Linked DNA regions of Ovis aries. The protein of the gene in region 4 purifies or fractionates together with the protein of the main gene of each other region. This does not show direct contact. Links are inferred from orthologs where the notes say so. Each region holds a gene or a part of one and is shown on either strand. Other genes may lie near its edges. The genes, in order: PPP1CA, PPP1CC, PPP1CB, PPP1R12A and RPA1.

Evidence for each region.
Region 1: the proteins of PPP1R12A (region 4) and PPP1CA purify together in Homo sapiens (affinity purification with mass spectrometry; 3 studies listed by BioGRID and IntAct, with this or other methods). This does not show direct contact. The link is inferred for Ovis aries from reciprocal best matches to the Homo sapiens genes PPP1R12A and PPP1CA.
Region 2: the proteins of PPP1R12A (region 4) and PPP1CC purify together in Homo sapiens (affinity purification with western blotting; 3 studies listed by BioGRID, with this or other methods). This does not show direct contact. The link is inferred for Ovis aries from reciprocal best matches to the Homo sapiens genes PPP1R12A and PPP1CC.
Region 3: the proteins of PPP1R12A (region 4) and PPP1CB purify together in Homo sapiens (affinity purification with mass spectrometry; 6 studies listed by BioGRID and IntAct, with this or other methods). This does not show direct contact. The link is inferred for Ovis aries from reciprocal best matches to the Homo sapiens genes PPP1R12A and PPP1CB.
Region 5: the proteins of PPP1R12A (region 4) and RPA1 fractionate together in Homo sapiens (co-fractionation; 3 studies listed by BioGRID, with this or other methods). This does not show direct contact. The link is inferred for Ovis aries from reciprocal best matches to the Homo sapiens genes PPP1R12A and RPA1.

The regions. Positions count from the first base shown.
Region 1 is NC_056074.1:41,699,853-41,703,859, forward strand, and holds the start of PPP1CA (serine/threonine-protein phosphatase PP1-alpha catalytic subunit), read right to left. Parts: upstream 2,803-4,007; 5' UTR 2,753-2,802; coding exon 2,698-2,752; intron 2,168-2,697; coding exon 2,036-2,167; intron 1,891-2,035; coding exon 1,660-1,890; intron 1,028-1,659; coding exon 923-1,027; intron 336-922; coding exon 112-335; intron 31-111; coding exon 1-30. Other genes in the region: TBC1D10C (carabin), read left to right, coding at 3,974-4,007. UniProt on the Homo sapiens protein: Protein phosphatase that associates with over 200 regulatory proteins to form highly specific holoenzymes which dephosphorylate hundreds of biological targets.
Region 2 is NC_056070.1:54,611,186-54,615,315, forward strand, and holds the start of PPP1CC (serine/threonine-protein phosphatase PP1-gamma catalytic subunit), read right to left. Parts: upstream 2,809-4,130; 5' UTR 2,613-2,808; coding exon 2,558-2,612; intron 1-2,557. UniProt on the Homo sapiens protein: Protein phosphatase that associates with over 200 regulatory proteins to form highly specific holoenzymes which dephosphorylate hundreds of biological targets.
Region 3 is NC_056056.1:35,718,985-35,721,600, forward strand, and holds part of PPP1CB (serine/threonine-protein phosphatase PP1-beta catalytic subunit), read left to right. Parts: intron 1-1,630; coding exon 1,631-1,735; 3' UTR 1,736-2,616. UniProt on the Homo sapiens protein: Protein phosphatase that associates with over 200 regulatory proteins to form highly specific holoenzymes which dephosphorylate hundreds of biological targets.
Region 4 is NC_056056.1:115,834,158-115,837,672, forward strand, and holds part of PPP1R12A (protein phosphatase 1 regulatory subunit 12A), read right to left. Parts: coding exon 3,345-3,515; intron 3,104-3,344; coding exon 2,935-3,103; intron 1,175-2,934; coding exon 1,053-1,174; intron 1-1,052. UniProt on the Homo sapiens protein: Key regulator of protein phosphatase 1C (PPP1C). Mediates binding to myosin. As part of the PPP1C complex, involved in dephosphorylation of PLK1. Capable of inhibiting HIF1AN-dependent suppression of HIF1A activity.
Region 5 is NC_056064.1:22,789,259-22,793,515, reverse strand, and holds the start of RPA1 (replication protein A 70 kDa DNA-binding subunit), read right to left. Parts: upstream 2,803-4,257; coding exon 2,770-2,802; intron 1-2,769. Other genes in the region: SMYD4 (SET and MYND domain-containing protein 4), read left to right, coding at 4,120-4,253. UniProt on the Homo sapiens protein: As part of the heterotrimeric replication protein A complex (RPA/RP-A), binds and stabilizes single-stranded DNA intermediates that form during DNA replication or upon DNA stress.

The DNA.
Region 1 (4,007 bases), on a different chromosome or scaffold from region 4:
GGCAAAGAACTCGTAGCCGTCTTCTACTACCTGGACGAGGGTGGAGGCGGTTAGTTCAGCAGGAGCTGGCTGCCAGCCCTGCTCTAACCCAGATGGGGGCTGCCAGCCCACCTGGTGTGCCCGGCAGATGAGGTCCAGGTCATGCTTGTGCAGGAACTTGGCCACCACCTCAGCTCCAAAGGTAAAGGAGACGCCGCGGTCATTCTCGCCCCAGCCCTGCACGTCCTTGTCAGGGTCAGACCACAGCAGGTCACAGAGCAGGCCCTGGTCAGGCACATCTGTGGGCCGCATGATGCGCCGGATCTGCTCCATGGACTGTAGGTCTGGGGACAGGCCTGGAGGGCACAGGGGGCAGGTCACCTCCTCCAGGCAGCCTTTGCCAATCAGCCTCTGCCCCCCACCTCTCCAGGATTCCTGGGAGCCTACAAAGGCAGAACTCATCACCTTCTGCCTCTTCCAAGTCCCTGTCCCTTCAAGGAGCACAGAGCTCCCTGGAGAAAGTGTTTTCGCTCAGTCGTGTCCGACTCTTTGCAACCCCATGGACTGTCCAGGCAAGAAAGCTGGAGCGAGTAGCCATTCCTTTCTTCAGGGGATCGTCCCAACCCAGGGATCAAACCTGGGTCTCCCGCATTGCAGGCAGATTCTTTACCATCTGAGCCACTAGGGAAGCCCTGGAGAAAGGGGACAAGCAAACTCCATGCAAGAAGGCGAGGCCATGACACAACAGTGGGTGCAGCCTAATGCTGCAGTGCGGGGGCACGTCATGGAAGAAGTACTACCCATACCAGGACTCCAGGGAGAGCTGTTCCTGGCGACTGGGAACACATCTTCCAGCCGACGCTTCTGTCCCAAGGTCCCCAGGGGTGCTCACCCTGGGAGGCTCATCCTGCTCAAGAATTCACATGCCCAGAGCTGTGCTCACCTCCATGGCAACAGAAGATCTTCTCGTCCACGATGGCAGCGATGGGCAGGCAGTTGAAGCAATCAGTGAAGGTCTTCCACAGTTTGATGTTGTAGCGTCTCTTGCCTGCCCAGGGGGAAGGAGACAGCTCACCAGAGGGCCTCTGCTCCACCCTCAGCCCAGGTCTCCAGGCCTTCCAGGACACATTGTGTGTTGTTCAGACACAGCTAGGAGGAGAGAATGGAAGGCAAAAAAGGAAACCGAACCCCCGCCCCCTACCCCTACTACCCCACTGCCTCCCAGACAGAATTCTAAAGCAGCCAAGTCCACGGGAACCCCAGAGTTCCACTTCTGGCACGACCTCAAGGTTGGCATCCACCCCCAGCACAAGAGCAGGGCCAGGTCGAGACAGGGTCTGGTTCATCTTGGCTTCTGTCTAACAGAGTCCAGTCCCAACAGGCATCCTAAGTGCTTAAGTATCGGATGCGCTGGAGGGGAGTGTCAGCAGGTGAGGCCCTGCCTTAGAATCCTGGCAGCCCTTCAGCCAGCAGCCACTGGCTAGGTCCCTCCTGAGTGCCAGGATCTGCTCTAGGAGGGTCGGGGAGGGTGGCATGGGCTGGTGCTACCTTCACGGCACTCAGCTTAGCAGGTGTTTGTCAGACGCTGACACCCCAGCCACCAGGTCAACACGAGGGTCGCACTGAATGGCAAGGAGAGCCCTTTAGGACCAGGGCAGCCCAGATGCTCTGCCCACTCACACTCATCATAGAAGCCGTAGATGCGGTTGATACTGGCACACTCGTGGTTCCCACGGAGCAGGAAGAAGTTCTCCGGGTACTTGATCTTATAGGCCAGCAGCAGGCAGATGGTCTCCAAAGACTGCTTGCCCCTGTCCACGTAGTCCCCCAGGAACAGGTAGTTACTTTCTGGAGGGAAGCCGCCGTACTCAAACAGCCGCAGAAGGTCATAGTACTGGCCGTGAATGTCACCTGTGACCCAGGGAACCAGGTCAGCACTAGGGCAGCCTAAACGTGAACCCAGGGTCAGGGTTGGGCCCAAGGGAGGAGAAACTTGGGAGGGGTGGGGGGCAAGGCCGCTTTCAGGAGGCCACGGGGACCTGGGCTGGGGGCTCACCGCAGATCTTGAGGGGTGCCTCCAGCTCCAGAAGAATGGGCTGGCTCAGGAAAATCTCCCGGGATTTGAGGCACAGACCACGGATCTCGTTCTCCGTCAGCTGTACATTCTTTCCAGGCCTGGAGCCCTGCACTGGGGGCGGAAAGAGGCGTCAGGACCCTGGTTCCTCAGGCAAGAAGAGGGTGAATGTCACTGGTGGCCCCAAAGGCACTTCTGGGTAGGGGCTCCTGGGCCTCCCGGCCCCGCCTTGCCCAGGGGCAGCTGTTGCTGCTGAGCCTCCTGGGACCCCCAACTGCCCTCAAGGCGCTCGCGAGGGGACTGCTGTGCGCAGAGGCCATCCAAAACCTCAGCACAGGACCCCTTCCTGGGGGACTAGGCTTCTCAGGTTTCTCCCTCAGCCAAGAGCCCAGGCCAATCCTTGCGCGCCCACCCCCGCCACCGCCAACCCCGGTTCTGCTCTGGCAAGGGGAGCAACCCCAGACCTCCCAGCGCGCCACGACTGGGGTGGGGTGGGGGCACGATGTGGCCACGGGACCTCGCGGCCCGTCCCCGCCCAGTCAAAGCTGGCCCTGGGAGGGGCAGGTCCACCCGCGCGCCACTTCCGGGCCGGGCAGGGGACCAGGGCGCGGCGGGCGCCCACCTCCCTCGCCTCCCCGGCCAACCTTCCAGCAGGCGTCCGATTATAGAGTCCAGGTTGAGCTTCTCGCTGTCGGACATGGCGGCGCCGCCGCTCTGGCCCAGCACCTCCGGGCCCTATCCTGCCTCCCGCCCTCCCGCGGCCTCCTTCCGGCCTGGTGCTCCTTCCGCCCGCCCGGGCCCGCCCCGGCCCGCCGCCCCGCCTCCTCTGCCGGCAGCCCCGCCCCGCCGCACCCGGCCCCGCCCCGGCCCGCCCGGTCGCCCGCCGCCCCTGCGCTCTAGCGCCTCCACTGGACGCCAGGCCCGGGGCCCGCGGCGGCTCGGGAGGCGGGGCTCGGGCTGACCTGGTTGCGGGGGCGGAGCCTACACTGGGGGCGGGGCTTCACGGGGCGAGGTCGACTCTAGTTCCGCCCTTGAGGAGTTACCCACCCTTGCACCGAGGATGTGCGGCCGGAAGTAGTGTGGAGTTGTTTTTCTCTTTCAAGGGCCCAATAGTCCTTCCCATTTCTGTCCCGGGCTAGAAGGTGGTGTGACCTCATTGATATCTCATTGGGTCTCCCCAGAGAGTGCAGATTAAATCCACGAAGTGCAGGAAAGGAAACAGGTTCAAAGATAGCAAGGGTTGGCTTCAGACTGACGGAGGAGCTCTCACCTCTAGGGTCCCTGTGGCCTGCGGGCGGCTGACCATACCCAGACACCTGTCGCTGAACGCCGAGCTCATTTTGGTCCCCCTGCCCGTGGCGCATGCTACACCATTACTACTATTTTTTAATGTCTCGTCGTTGTGTTTTGAGTAGCGCAGTAATGACTTACTGTTTGACTTGTCGAAAGCGTTAACAAAAGAAGTCACGTTAAATAAAGTGTAATACTCACTGGAACCCTGAATTGAGTGTTTTATTTGCCTGTGACCTCACATCTGGAGGCAGCGTGGCCTCTCTACCTCTGGCAGGCCCTGGCTGCATCACACCCAGCACAAGAACCCAGGCCTGCACCCACCTAGCCCACCGGGGTGGTGGGAGGAGCCCATGGCCCAGGGCTACTGGGGCAGGCCGGAAGAGCCCTGGAGAGGAAGGGGTAACCCCCCCCACCACGCACTTGGGAGGGGCCCTCAGCGGGTTGCTGAAGCTGTGGCTGAGGAGGAAGTGAGAGGAGGAGGTGAGGTGCAGCAGGGAGGTAAGCTGGGCCCCTTGGGACAGGGGCTGGGCCTGGGTCTCCGGTAGGGGGCCTGGCCTTTCTGCCCCTCTGGGCCTGTGCCCCACCCCCACCCCACAAGAGGAGAGGGTACCAGAGGGGTATGGTGCGATGCCCTGCAACCTGTCCTCTTTGACCAGGCGGG
Region 2 (4,130 bases), on a different chromosome or scaffold from region 4:
TCTGAAAGTTTAGAGTAGCAAATAACTGCAAAGCTGTAGTGACTAAAACCTAAAGCAAGACGTTTCATTAGATAAGACTTCACTTTTGAATGGTCTTTTTAGTACTATCACTGAGCTACTTCTCAACTAGCTTGTATAGTCCTCCACCTTAGACAATTCTGAAAATGTAAAAAATTCTAAAAAGGTCATAAAACTCACATTCCCTCCATCTTCAGATATACTTAAATCTTAATGAAAATTTTTAGAGGAAAAACTTTGTGAGGCATTAAAAAAAAAAAAATCACAAAACTTATCAACATCTTCTACCCTGGAAAGATATACATATATATCTTCAATAGATCATTTTCAATAGTTTCTCTGCCAATCTAACATTGACGAGAAAAAAAAAAAAAAAACAAACGTTAAGAATGTTGAGCAGCTAGTTTATTCCCGAGGACTGAAAATGCACTGCTGTACTAATTTCAATGAAAAAAAATGAAATGTTAAAAAAACCTGGTTTTCCAGCACAACATAACATGTATAGAAACTATTAAGAAATAATGACTGATCTCACTGTAAATGATCCAGGTTAATCAACGCAAATTCCTTAGCACAATTTAAAAAATAAGATTAAAATTAACAAGATGTTATATGAATATAAAAGTTATGGGCAACCCCACAATTAAGACCTAACTAATCTTAAAATTCTGTTTCTAATCCACAGCTTCCATTTTTTCCAGCTTTCTCAAAGAAATAAAGCCACACATGTCCCTGCATAGACATGCAGAATTTACAATTTTTGAATGAAAAAAATTTAAGTTCTTTTCCTACAGCAAATTGTTTTAATCCGTTTCTGACCCACTGCTGTCTCACATAAACCAAAGAACTATATCAACTAATATTAAAAGTGTGATTCCTCTAATAAACGGCAGATACTGAATGAACAAGGTTTTCACCCACAAATGGCAGTGACATTTCAGGGGCTCATTTAACGAGTTTTTGTTTTGAGACACTATAAAAGGAAAAAAACCTTAACAGAGATTAAGAAAAGATGAAGTTTCATTCTCATGACTTAAAAGATCTGTAAATTCTAACATCAGAGCTGTCCAACTGTTTAGGCTCGACTCCATCTCTGAGCATTTACAGTCCAACAATATTTTAGAATATAAAGGCAAAAATGCAGTTAAAACTCAGCCAAATCTACATTATCCAACACTCAAGAAAAGGATCTGAATTCTTTCAAAGTTAGGAATTAGACGTTATTATTAATAGATGTGCTCTAGAATTCAGGGGTGGTGGGTGATTTTATTTCAGTGTCTCTCCTTAAAATCCGAACTTCATCCCTCTCCCATCCCACATCAATAGAAATCAATCGCAAGACACCTCAGGAGTTTTAGGTCAGTCAAAACTGAAGATTTATTTTAACCTTTGCTCAACCACTGGACACCTTCCTTCACACATAGGGTGACTTGAATGACGTTGAATTCCTGGCTGCCTGGGTTTGAAACTTGACTGTCACTAACTGGTTAAGTGACTACACTTCTCTGGGTCTTAGTCAGGAAAAAAAGGCATCTACCTGGTGTATTACATGAAATCTGTGTAAGGAGCTCCAAAAAATGCCTTACACACAGTAAGCGCTTTAGAAGCATGGCTAATATGATTTTTGCGACACACGCAAAGTACTGGAGACAACTCATTAGAAAAGACCCTGATGCTGGGAAAGACTGAAAGCAGGAGAAGCGGACGAGATGGTTGGGTTGGATGGTATCACCGACTCAACGGACATGAGTTTAAGCAAGCTCCGGGAGATGGTGAAGGACAGGGAAACCTGGCACGCTGAAGTCCATAGGATCGAAAAGTCGGATGCGACTAAAAGACAGCAAAATGCAGTCAGTGAACGCAAAGCGCTTAACAGAGCTTGGCACATTGGAAAGATCCTAACGAAACTGTCATCACTGCCGGTTTCACGATTCAGAGGCAGGTTCAGAAAAGAGCGCGGAGACTTCCCCGGGATAAAGACAACTTAAAAAGAATATCTGGGAGGGTAGAAGAAGACAGGTTCCAACATCTCTCTGAGAATGAACGTTCGTTACCGAGTAACAAGTAACTGGGCCCCCGACCCCAAGCCTCACAAAAAAATAAAAATAAGCAGGCTAGGAAAGAAGCCCTCAAGCTTGGTGAAATCCATATCCGCATCTTATTGCTTTCCAAAAGATTGAGAACCACGAAGTTCGGAAAGAGCAGTCCAGTAGGTTGGACTGGGGCCCCCAATATTCTCCAAAGATTGGTCCGGAGTGCCGGGCGCACGGGGGTACGTACCGGAAACGTGGGGGTGGGGAGCGGAGTTTTCAAATTTCACGGCCAGGAGAAAGGCTGCACCCTCAAGCAATGAATGAGCGGAGCCAGGAGGGTCCGCAGGTTGGGCCAAGCGCGGAACGCCGGGCAACCTCCCTCCCGCGGCAGTCCCCGGCCCGCGGGCGAACTCGCGGGGCTCACTCGTCTCGGCGCAGCAAGCCCAACAGGCCTCCCAAATCCCCCTCCCCCGCGAGTCTCCGGAGCCGCCCGCCGCCCCCTTCACCTTCCAGCAGCCGTTGGATGATGCTGTCGATGTTGAGTTTATCTATATCCGCCATCGCCTTCCCACCGCCGACCTTCCCGCAGCGGCGCCGCCGCCGGCTCGCGCCCGGGATTCACACCTCCTTTCCCACGCCACGGGCACAGAGATGGTGGTGGTGGCGGCGGTGGCAGAAGCCGCGGTGGGTTCCCCCCAACCGCCCCGCTCCCTGCTTCCTCCTTCTCTCCCCACTGGAACCACGAGAAGAACAAAATGGCCGCCGACTCCTTAGCCAGCCTCGGGCGGCGCACGAATGCGCGCGGGGGAGTGCAGCGGTCCGGCCGGGACTTCTTTGTGGGCCATAGGGCACCCGGGAGGGGGCGGGGCCAGGGAGATTGAAGGAGGCGGGGCCAGAACGCGGGAATGGGAAGGAGACGGTTGAGCGTAAATGCGCTCGCGCGCGGAATCCTTCCGCCAAACGGGCCGAGCAAATAGGCCCCCTGGCGGGAGCGTGAGTTGCAAAGTTGAACGCGGGAGTTGGGGATGGGGGAGAAGATGCATCTGTGCACTCGAGGGTTGCGGGCTCCGCAGGACACTGTTCACTGCGGCCAAGTGTTTGCAGACCTGGCCATGTGAAAAGCCCACGGAGGGAATTTGGGTGTCCTGGAATTTCCCCTTAAGATAAATCTGTGGTAGAGGTGAACAGTGAAATAGGTTGACTCTTTTTGGCTTCAAATTTGCTAGAATTTAGGGGGGAGGGAAAGATACATTTGATGGTTAATTTAAAAAGTCCTCTCCCAGATAAATAAAAATGTTAGGTTATTCTTTCTGAGTGGTGGAAATATGGGTATTTGTATGCACATTTTTGTGCACTCTGTAACTTACATTTGGGGAAAAAAATTCTTTTTAATCTACCCTCAAAAAAATTTCATCATCTCTCTCTGGATTATCTTTCTTGAACTCGCGAAGTTATATAATCATCGGAACGGTTTACCCTGATTCCGGCCAGAGCGAAGATGAGCGAGCGTGTGCAGCAGATAAAGGAGAATTTGCAGGTTTGCGGTCGGGTCCCCACTTCTGCAGATACCCCTGAAAACTTTGGTCAATTTCCATCGGCTTCTCAGTCTCCACATATAATCTCTCTCCAGGAGATCCCTCCAAAATGTGCCACCTCCGGGGGCTGCGTGTCGTCTTAGCTGGGTTTGAAAGTGCAGTTACACTCAGCAAACGCATCTGCTCTTTTGGATCCTGACCTTTTCATTTAACTGCTTTTTTCCTGCAGCGCTTTACAGTTTGCAAAGCCGTTTCCCTCCCGCCAGAGAAATTAATTTTGTCTCTCAAGGCACACAAAATGCACGAATTCCCAGCCCGAAATATCGAGATCATTGTGCCACCCGGGCATCCAGTCTCAAAACCGGTGTTCCCCCCGGGGCCCAAAAGTGGTGGGGCCCAGGCTCCTTCCACATGGACCCGAGGCCTCCCTGCGGCTGGCTTGGAGGCGTTAAGGTTCAGAGATCCCACCTGCTTGGCGCAGTTGCTCACTCAGCTTTCCCCAGTCACCAACTTACCCTCCCGTGCTGTAACTCTGTTCGCAAGA
Region 3 (2,616 bases), about 80 Mb from region 4:
TCTAAGTCATGTCAGTCATTCTTGGTGGCATGTGTTTAAATTGGAAATTGGTGTATGAATCCTTAGGTAGTGGCTTTGCTACTAAAAGAATGTGAATTTAGATTTTGTTTTCTTTTGCAAGATGAATGGATGGGACAGGCGTTGAGTAGAGTTTATGAACTCTGATGAAAATGATGTAGAATATTTGCCTAGAAAAACCTTCCAAATAATCTTAAAGTATCTGTTTGTGAATATAGAAACATTTACATTTAAGAAAGAGACCAGCTTTAGCATGCTACTTAATCATTCTTGTTCATGGACTAAAATAACTTTATTTTTTTGTCCTTGACACCCTGTATTTCTCTTAAAAAATGTAACAGAGGTTTCCATTACTATCAGCTAATACAATTGAATGCTAAATGTTTGATTTCTCGTTCAGATTTAAATGTAGTAACCAGGCCATATCCTTCAACAAATAGTTTGTATTTTTGTTGGTGTGTTTTTTTTGGTTTTTGGTTTTTTTTTGTTTTTTTTTTTTTTTTGATATAACCAAAGTGTTGCTGGGGATGTGGAGAAGTTGGAACCTTATATATTGATAGTGGGAATGGAAAATGGTGCAGCCACTTTGGAAAATAGTTTGTCAGTTCCTGAAAAAGTTAAATATAAAGTTTCTATATGACCCAGCATTTCCACTCCTAGGTATATACCTGAAAGAACTGAAAATAGTACTCAAATACATGTATATATACATATTAATAGGAACATTATTTATAATACCCAAAGGTAGAAACAACCCAAATGTTCATCAGCTAAAGAATGAATAAACAAAATGTGGAGTATCCAAAATGTGGCATATTGTTTGGCAATTAAAAGTAATAAAGTACTCATACATGCTACATCAAAATCATTATCTCAGTGAAAGAAGCCAGTCACAATAGCACAAATTGTCTGGTTTCATTTATTTAAAATAGCCAGAAAAGACAGTTCAATAGAGGAAAGTAAAGTAGTGATTGCTTAGAGTTGAAGGGGGTTAGGGCAGTCAATAATGGAAATAGAGTGAGTGAGTGCTTTTGGGAACAAGGTTTCTTCCTGGAGTGACAAACATGTTCTAATGTTAGATTATACCAGTGGTTTCATAGTTGTAAATATGTTAAAAAGTGTTGTCTTTCTACAGTTTAAATGGTGACCTTTATGATACATAATATATATAGCTAAGTGAAAGATCTGTATACACATAGTAAATGAAGATTGAAGAATTTGTGACTAATTACCCTCTAAATAAATAGGAGAATTATGATGAGAACCTGGATCTTTTGACTCTTAGTGCTTTTTTCTCATCACAGAGATACACTAGTTTGAAAATTTTTATACTTAGATCTAAGAATTGAATAGTTGATGGGTTTTGTGTACTTGAGCTTTTGTCACTAAATTGTCAATGGAATGACCAATAATAGTGATATTCAGACATTTGTACTTTTTATTTATTTTTTGATACTTTTTAAATGTGAGAAATGACTGTAGAACTTTGCTATTTTTTCCTACAATTTTACAATTGATGTCATTTATTGAGAAGCCTACTATGTAACAATAATTTCCTTAAACTTATTGTACTTGAAAAAGGTAACATTGTTATTAAATTATTTACTTTAAGATATTGAAACCGTCTGAAAAGAAAGCTAAGTACCAATATGGTGGACTGAATTCAGGACGTCCTGTCACTCCACCTCGAACAGCTAATCCACCGAAGAAAAGGTGAAGAAAGGAACTCTGTAAAGAAACCATCCGATTTGTTAAGGACATACTTCATAATCTTTAAGTGTGCACTGTAAAACCATCCAGCCATTTGACACCCTTTATGATGTCACACCTTTAACTTAAGGAGACGGGTAAAGGATCTTAAATTTTTTTCTAATAGAAAGATGTGCTACACTGTATTGTAATAAGTATACTCTGTTATAATATTCAACAAAGTTAAATCCAAATTCAGAATTACCCATTAAAGTTACATCTTCACGTACCACAGTTTTTAAAGCTGAAAAGCATCCCAGTTAAACTAGATGTGATAGTTAAACCAGACGAAAGCATGATGATCCATCTGTGTAATGTGGTTTTAGTGTTGCTTGGTTGTTTAATTATTTTGGGCTTGTTTTGTTTCTGTTTGTTTGTTTTTGCTGAAATAATGGCAAATTCTTTAAATTTTTTCCCCAAACATTTAAAAAAGTGCAATGTGGGAAGATTTTTGAAGACATTCATCAACTATTAATTTTCCATTGCTTATTTACTTATGTACCTGTTTGATCTTACTAAGAAAACTTATGCCTCATTACAGTAAAAAGGAATTTAGAGATATTTTTTAAAATATGCAAACTGTCCAATCGAGTGATTTAATCAGTTTGGGCAACTGTTACAGCTGATAGTGAATATTTTGCTTCATACAGAAATGGCCACTGATTTGAGTTTGTGCACTCTAATTTTAACTTATTGATGCTCTATTGTGCAGTAGCATTTCATTTAAGATAAGGCTCATTTAGTATACCCAACTAGTTGGTAATGTGATTATGTGGTACCTTGGCTTTAGGTTTTAATTCGCACGAAACACCTTTTTGGCATGCTTAACTTTCTGGTAACACCCTCACC
Region 4 (3,515 bases):
GAACCCCAGACTCCTTCATTGCAGGCAGATGCTTTAACCTCTGAGCCACCAGGGAAGCCTAATTGGTAAAGAATCTGTCTGCAATGAAGGAGACTGGGGTTCAATCCCTGGGTTGGGAGGATCCCCTGGAGAAGGAAATGGCAACCCACCCCAGTATTCCTGCCTGGAGAATCCCATGAACAGAGGAGCCTGGCAGGCCACAGTCCATGGAGTCACAAGAGTTGGACACAACTTAGCGACTAAACCACCACCACAGGCCTACGTAAATGGACAGATGATATGCCCAAGAGGGCAGGTGGACAATTAGGTCCCTCCAGGCAATATGGGTCAGGAGGACATTAAAACTGACTGTCTATTCAATATTAAGGATTTATTGTCAATTTATTTAAAATAAACATGATCATGGTATTATGATCACTCATTAAAAGATAATATTTATGGTTACTTTTAAAAAATAAAAATTTAATATTTTAAAAAGGAGTCCTTATCTCTTGAAAATTCATACTGAAATTTTTACATATATAGTATTACTAAAATTTTCTTCAAATATAAATAATTGGGAGTTGGGAAAGTGGTAGAGATTTAACTTAAGAATGAATATCTGGGGTGGGATGATATACTTCATGTTTAAACGTTTCTACAAAAAAACAATCCCCGAAAACTAAATCAATTTTGCCTTTCTGAGGTACATGTTGTATCGAAATAGGATAAATTTCACATTAACTGTGTTATCCCATAGTTCTTCTTTCTCCTGCAAATGAAAAGCAACGTCAGGCAAATAGAGATGATGAAGAAAAAATTAAAACTTATAAGATTGCAGCCATTATTTTTTTATTCCAATACTGAGACAGTACTCTTGCTTATAAGTAATGTCAGAAATCTGAGTAGTTGTTTATTCTTAAAAAGAAAAACTCTTTTCATTTAAATAACTAGCTCAAACACATAGTGGTGACCCGAAGAATACATAATCTGAGGCATATAAGAAATCATTATTGTACATTCCTAGAAAGATAAAGCATATATCAAGTAGGTATATTTTAATAGGTTCTCACATCTTGTGTCCAAAACGAAACTCCTGTAGATCTTCTCTTCTCTCTTGGTCGCCTTCGTTCTCTGATTGATTTAGGTTGTGATTTATCTTCCCCCTCTTTTTCTTCTTCTTTCTTTTCTCCCTCTGTTAAGGATTAAAATCAATCATATGGCAGCAATGCATCTTGAAAGTATTTGCAAAGTAAATATGAAAACAATTCTAAGTCAACCTCTGTGAAAGTTTCTAAAGTTCTCTAATCAGAAATAATTTTTGCCCCCTCAGTGCTCCTGTAACACCTGGTTTAAACATGTCTGTGTCTCCCACTGGACACACTCTTGAAAATCAAGAATTTTAATTACTTCATTTTTCTAGTGCTTAAAACAAACATTTTGCTTAAAAGACACATTTAATAATATTTACTGAAGAGAAAATAAATGAATCCTATGAAGAGAATGGGGCCCTAGTTATTAGTGTCTGCCAGGAAAACAGTTCTCATGCCCAAACAGTCTGTAACAATGGAGCGGCTAGTAGGCACACACACCTATCAGTTTCCACTTCTGCCATTCCCAGTCCTCATGCAGCGGCAGAATCAATGCACCAGTCACTGAATTTTCTTTTAGTATCTCAGAGCAAACCTTTCTCCCCCCTTGGGAAAAAATTATCTTTTATTAAAAACAAATCAATGTAAAGTCTTCAAATTTGTTCCCTTCCTGGGATAGTTAAAATATCCTGAGACTTACATACTAGAAGAATATTAGAACCTCTGAATATGCTTTAAAAAGCAGACATATGGAGCAAAGTAATGCTAAAAAAAAGGCTCCTGTGTCATTAGAAGGCTCCTTGTCTCCTTCTGTGAAGAAAAAGCAGCAAAAGAAACTCCAAAATTCTAGTATTAAGAGCGGTTTAATGTTTTTTAGAATTAGTTTAGTGCAAAGGCCTCAAACTCCAAAATCAACAGTGGTCATCCAGGTCATATAAGAGTTGGCAGGGCAGGGGCGGGAGGCGTGCTGCTATTTTTCAGCTCTAATCAATTGTTGATGTGAGAATTCAGATCCAGTGTTGCCATATCTTCCAACTTTTCAAAAGAAGACAGAAACTTGAACTTTTATGCAAATATCCCTAATTTAAATGTTGGCTCAAAATTTTTATAATCATTATACAGGCCCCACACTCAAGAGGTTTAAAGAACTGAAATATTTAATGACCAACAAAAGAAGAGCCAGCCTGCAGTTGAAAAAAATTTAATTTTCTGAAGCTTACTCCTATAGGACTACTGATATTATCATGATTAATACTACTTGACTTTCCTTTTAAAATATAAAATACCTACAGTTGGAATACATTTAGCACCCATTTCTTAAAGTAGGAGTTAATTAGAGTTTATATACGAAGTTTATATGCAATAAAAGGAAATGCTAATAGCATCAACATGCCAATATACAGCTGAAAAAGAAACCTATTTTTCAAGAAATAAGCATAGAAATAATTTTTTTGGCAAGGACTTTATATATATATGTTAAATCATTTTTGTTTAAAACAATTTCACAACAAACAGTTAAAAGATGTGACCTACATAATATGCAAGAAATGACTTGAAACATTAATAAACTGTTCTTAGAAATAATCACCCCACTAGTTTTTCTATACCAACTTTTCTATGTTGATCTACATAAAGATTTTTTAAGTCTTCGGCAATAAAGATACACGTATCAATGATAGATCACACAATTTTCTGTTTTTATTTTCTACTTTTCTCATTCTCAACCATCATATTCTTTCTGGTTAGGTAGAATGAGTCCCAGTTTAGGATGTTGGTTCTTTTCTGTTAAACTATATTAATTAGGAAAGACCAACTCAAAGAATTATCTGAAGGAAACAAAGTACTTTCAAATTTTCGTTCTTACCTCTTTCATTTTCCTTTGTTAATCCTCTGGAGTAAGCAGAAGTTATACCTACAAGACTGTTTGGCCTGTTTAACTGACTTGAAGCATAAAGTGAACTGCTCATTGTGGAAAGTAAAGAGGAGGGAGTGGTTGAACTTGAAGTTGATACTGGTCTGTAGCGTTGATAAGTCTGTGAAATGTAAGAATTAACACCCATTTGAAATATTAAACACAGATAAAAACATAAAATATTTAAGTTCATTTTAAAGAAAAAGTAATGTTCTACTCATGTCAAGATAATTAAGACTTCCAGTTAAAATCCTTATGAGCAATTTGCATGTGGTTTGTTAATAAATAAACCTCTTGCATTTTGAGAATCACAAGAACTACCCACGCCATAGGACCTAGTTGTGTTGCTGGTATACTATTACCTCATCATATGTTCTGGAGTACTTTTGTTTATATTCATCTTCTCTAGATGTTTCTGATTCCTTCTTTTCTTCCTGCTTTTCTTTATCCTGTTTCTCTTTTTCCTCTTTTTCTTCATTTTCTTGTTCTCTGGTTCGGGTGGAACGACTCCTCCCTATTGTTTTTTCAGCTTC
Region 5 (4,257 bases), on a different chromosome or scaffold from region 4:
ACCAGGCTCGATGTAATATACAATAGGATTAATATAATTAACGATGCTAAATATGAAAGTTGTTCAGAGAGTAAGTCCTAAGAGCCCTCATGGCAAGGAAAAAAATACTATTTTTCCTTTTGCATGTGTGTGTGGTGACAGGTGTTCACTAAACTGATTGTGGTAACAGTTTCACGATGTGAGTCAGATCATTATGCCGTACACTTTAAACGTACACAGTGCGGTATCAATTACATCTCCATAAAACTGTAAGGAAAAAAAATACAAAGCAACAGAAGGTAATGCTCAAAAGTATGTGTTCAAATCCTCAGCTCGTGCACAAACTAATTCTCTGTATTTTAATTTCTTCGTCTGTAAGATGGGGTTAATGATAAAAATCTACCTTACAGGGTTACTGTAAGTACTGACTATAATGAAATATCTGGCACATTGGAAATGATAAAAAATATTAGTTCCCTTCCCCTCTCTTTGTATTACCTAATTACTTAAGACAGAAATACTATTTGTTCTATTTACCACAATAGTTCCATGAATAATCTCTTATGTTAGCTCTTGCTGAAAATGTCCCTACTATTTGTGTGCGTTAGTTGCTTGCCCTTTGTGGGGGGGGGGGTCTATGTCTTTTGAACTAAAATATTACTTGCTTTAGATGAGAAATTTGACAATGGTTCTCTACCAAAACACACACATAAATTTTCATTGTCATTTATGAACAAGATCTAAGTAATACTACAATTTTGAATGTGACAAAAACTCAGCAAATTATTTAAATAATACCTTAGTCACTGTTTTAATTTAAAAGTAAAGAACTCCTAATTTGTCTTAAAGATGCAAGGTTGCAGCTATAAAGGAGACAAGGACTACAGTTTGCAATCACTTCTAAAGGTTAATTATTTTTAATGTATTAAAATATTCACTCCGCTTTGCCAAAAAAAATAAAAAATAAAATAAAATATTCACTCCGCTTTGCCAACTGTGCCTCTCCATCCAGCTCTGTCCCTTTCTTTTCACTGCCTCACACGCAAGTAGTAAACATTTATTGGGCACCTAATACCTGCTAGCACTGCTCCAGGAATCGGGGAGACTGTGTTGGGCAAAAAAAAAAATCAGACAAGATTTCAGGCTTCAGAGCATTTACAATCCAGTCGGGGGGGTGAGAGAAAGGAACTGACATTAATGAAATGAACAATATTTAATGTAAAATCATATCTGCAACTGTTAATAACAGGTAACAAGTAATGCACATATATTATGTATCAGACATGGACTAAGCACTTTAAATTAATAGCTCATTTAATCCCTCCACTAATCACAGGCAACAGGTACTAGGTATGATTAGCCTGTGACAGAAGAGGAAAGACAAAGTTTAATATCTTGCCTGAAATCACAGATAATAGGTGAACAAGCAGGAATTAGGGTCGGAAAATAAAAGGACTTAAGCCTAGCAAACTGAGTCAAGGAAGAGTTCTTTGAGGAAGTAACTGAGTGGAGACTTGAAGATTATGTTAGTCAACAGGAGAAGAATGAAGAACACCCCGTTGTTAATTGGCTACACTCCAATACAAAATAAAAAATTTAATGACAATAATTTTTTTAAAAAAGCACCACCCAGGCAGTAGGCACAGGTTAAAGAATGTTCAAAGCCCCTGCGGAAGGCAGGAGTATGAAATATACCAGGAATTTACAATTTACATTTTAAAAAGCTGAAAAAAAGGAAAGAACAGGTAGGAATATGCCGTGTTGGGAATGGCAGGAGGAAGATTATGCTGGGTTAAAGGAAGAAGGCCAGGCACAAACAATGGTGCCTGGAGAGAAGTAGCTGGATTTAAGAGACATGGGTGAAGGCATAACAGACCAAACTTACGTAGGGTGACAGCCAGGGTGAGAGTTTAAAGGAAGAATGATTCCACAATTTCTAGCTGGCATAACTTAATGAATAATGGTGCCATGCATCCAGACAGGTGACAGCAGAGGCCCAAATTTAGGAAGATATTAGATTTTCTTTGGAACATGTTGAATTTAAAATGTCTTTGAGATTATCAAGTACACAGATGACAGAGGTTTGTCTTTCAGAGTAAAGCTGGCCCTGCACAAAAAAAAACTTGTGAGCAACTGACACAGAGACGGTAATTTTATTGTTTTGGGAGAAGAGGGCCTAGGGTTGAGCCTTGAGTCAACAAAAATTTACAGAAGGATCTGAAAATAAGACGGGGAAAGACAAGCCAAGCTGAAAATAAGACGGATTTTCTCCCGTCTTAGAAGAGGATGCTACCGGAAGAAAGCTTTGCCCGATAGTCAAACGCTGCTGAGAACTGACAGATTTAGATCTCCAAAGTGTCTGCTGGACTTAACAACCCCAGGAGGCACTGCTGACTTCAGCCAGGGTTACAGCGATCAGGGAGGAGAGTGACTAATTCGAGTCGGTTAAAGGGGAATGCGAGGCGAGGAAAAGAACTGAAAACTAACAACTCTTGCAAAAAGTTTCGCTGCGGATGGGGGAAGGGAAGAAGAAAGAGTGGCTGCAGGAGAGAGATGGGGGAAGATCAATCGTTTACTTTGTTTCAATTCCTGAAGCAGGAAAAACATGAGCATGTTGAAAAAGATGACGATAAAAATGCGTTAACTGATGATTCTAGGGAGTCATCCAGGGGTTCCTACCCAACCCCCGCTATCACTCCGGCTCCTGTGTTCTCTCCCCCTCCTCCACCCGCACGGCCCCAGGGCCCACAGCCGCCCCGGACCGCGCCCAGCTCGCAGGCGTCGCCTCACCGCAATGGCCCCCTCGCTCAGGTGGCCCACCATGGTTCCGCTGCAACAACTCCCGCGCTCCGGCTCCCCCAACACAAGCCTGGCTTTACTCCCGGGGACCCGCGCGCTCCAAGGCGATTGGCCGGAGGAGCTGCGTGAACCGCCCCCGCCTCCCGACGTGCGCACGGCACGCGGCAGTCTCAGGGCCAAGCAGCCGCCGCATTGGCTGAGGCGCGGCACGCGGCTCACGTGACCCACCGGAGTCCGGGTCCCGAGCCTTGTTGCGGGATGGCGGGGGCCTAGGGGCGGGGCGCCGAGCGCTGGGGCGCGCGAACCGTGACGCGGGCGCCGCCAAGGGCGCAGGGCGGAGGGGTTCCGGGAGCTTTCCCCGCGGGCTCTAGGAAACGTACCGCGCTCGGCCTTCGGCGGGCAGCCATAGACTGCTAGCCCAGAGGAGTGTTCGAGGGGTTCCCTGATAATTCTGCTACTGAAAGTAGTCGAAGCAGTGACTCGCTTCTTTCAGCAACACCGAGCTGAGCTCCCGCAGGTGCCAGACCCTGAACTGGGCACAGTGGGGGGGGTCTCTCAAGGTAAATAAGACCTGGTCCCTACTCCCAGAGGGGAGCACAGTATGTCGAGGGAGTTTCTGCTGTGAGTAGCCTTAACTCAGTGTAGACGTGGTTTGGGTCCCAGGAGAGACGCAAAGTGTGCGCCTGTCGTCACAGGTGCCAAAATCAGGGAAGGCTTCTCGGAGTAGGAACCATTTGAACTGAGTCTTGAAGGATGTGTGCAAATTCGGATAGTAGGGTATAGAGGAAAAAGCGAGACTTGATCAGAAAGTAGGTCAGGGGTCAAATGATAAAGGGTTTGTACTGGGCTTCCCCAAGTTCTAGGAGGAGCATCAGTGAATTTAAGGCAGAGAATTGACATCGGTCTCAGTATGGAGGATGGACTAAATTGGGAAGGGGGAACAGGGAGGGATAGTCTGAGGGCCTGAAGACTAATTATGACACTCGAGAAAGAATGCCAGACAGGAAATGGTGAGGGCTTGAACTAAAGAAGGGACCTCGGGATTGAAAAGAAAAAACTGAACTATGTAAGAAATCTGATTCATCATTGTATAACCGTTCCCTAGTACGATGCCAGGAACAAAGTCAGTTTTCAGTAAATAATTTCTGAATGAAGGGATGTGAATTGGTGCGGGAGAGGATACATCCTTCCCTGGCATGTAAACAACTGTAGGAAGAGACTACAAGATCTGATTTTGTGGCCTCGTGGTGCATGCTTGAATGAAATCGATTTTCTGGAATTATGCATTTGTAGAAAACTGAATTCCTTGTTTTCTTATTCATTTTTTAGGTCTGAAGTAGCATGGATCTGCCCGTGGATGAGTGGAAATCCTACGTACTTCAGAAGTGGTCTTTGCTCCCCAAGTCCATTCAGGTCACCATTTCTACAGCAGAGACTTTGAATGATCTCTTTCTTCACTCATCTGCACTTCTTCAGTAA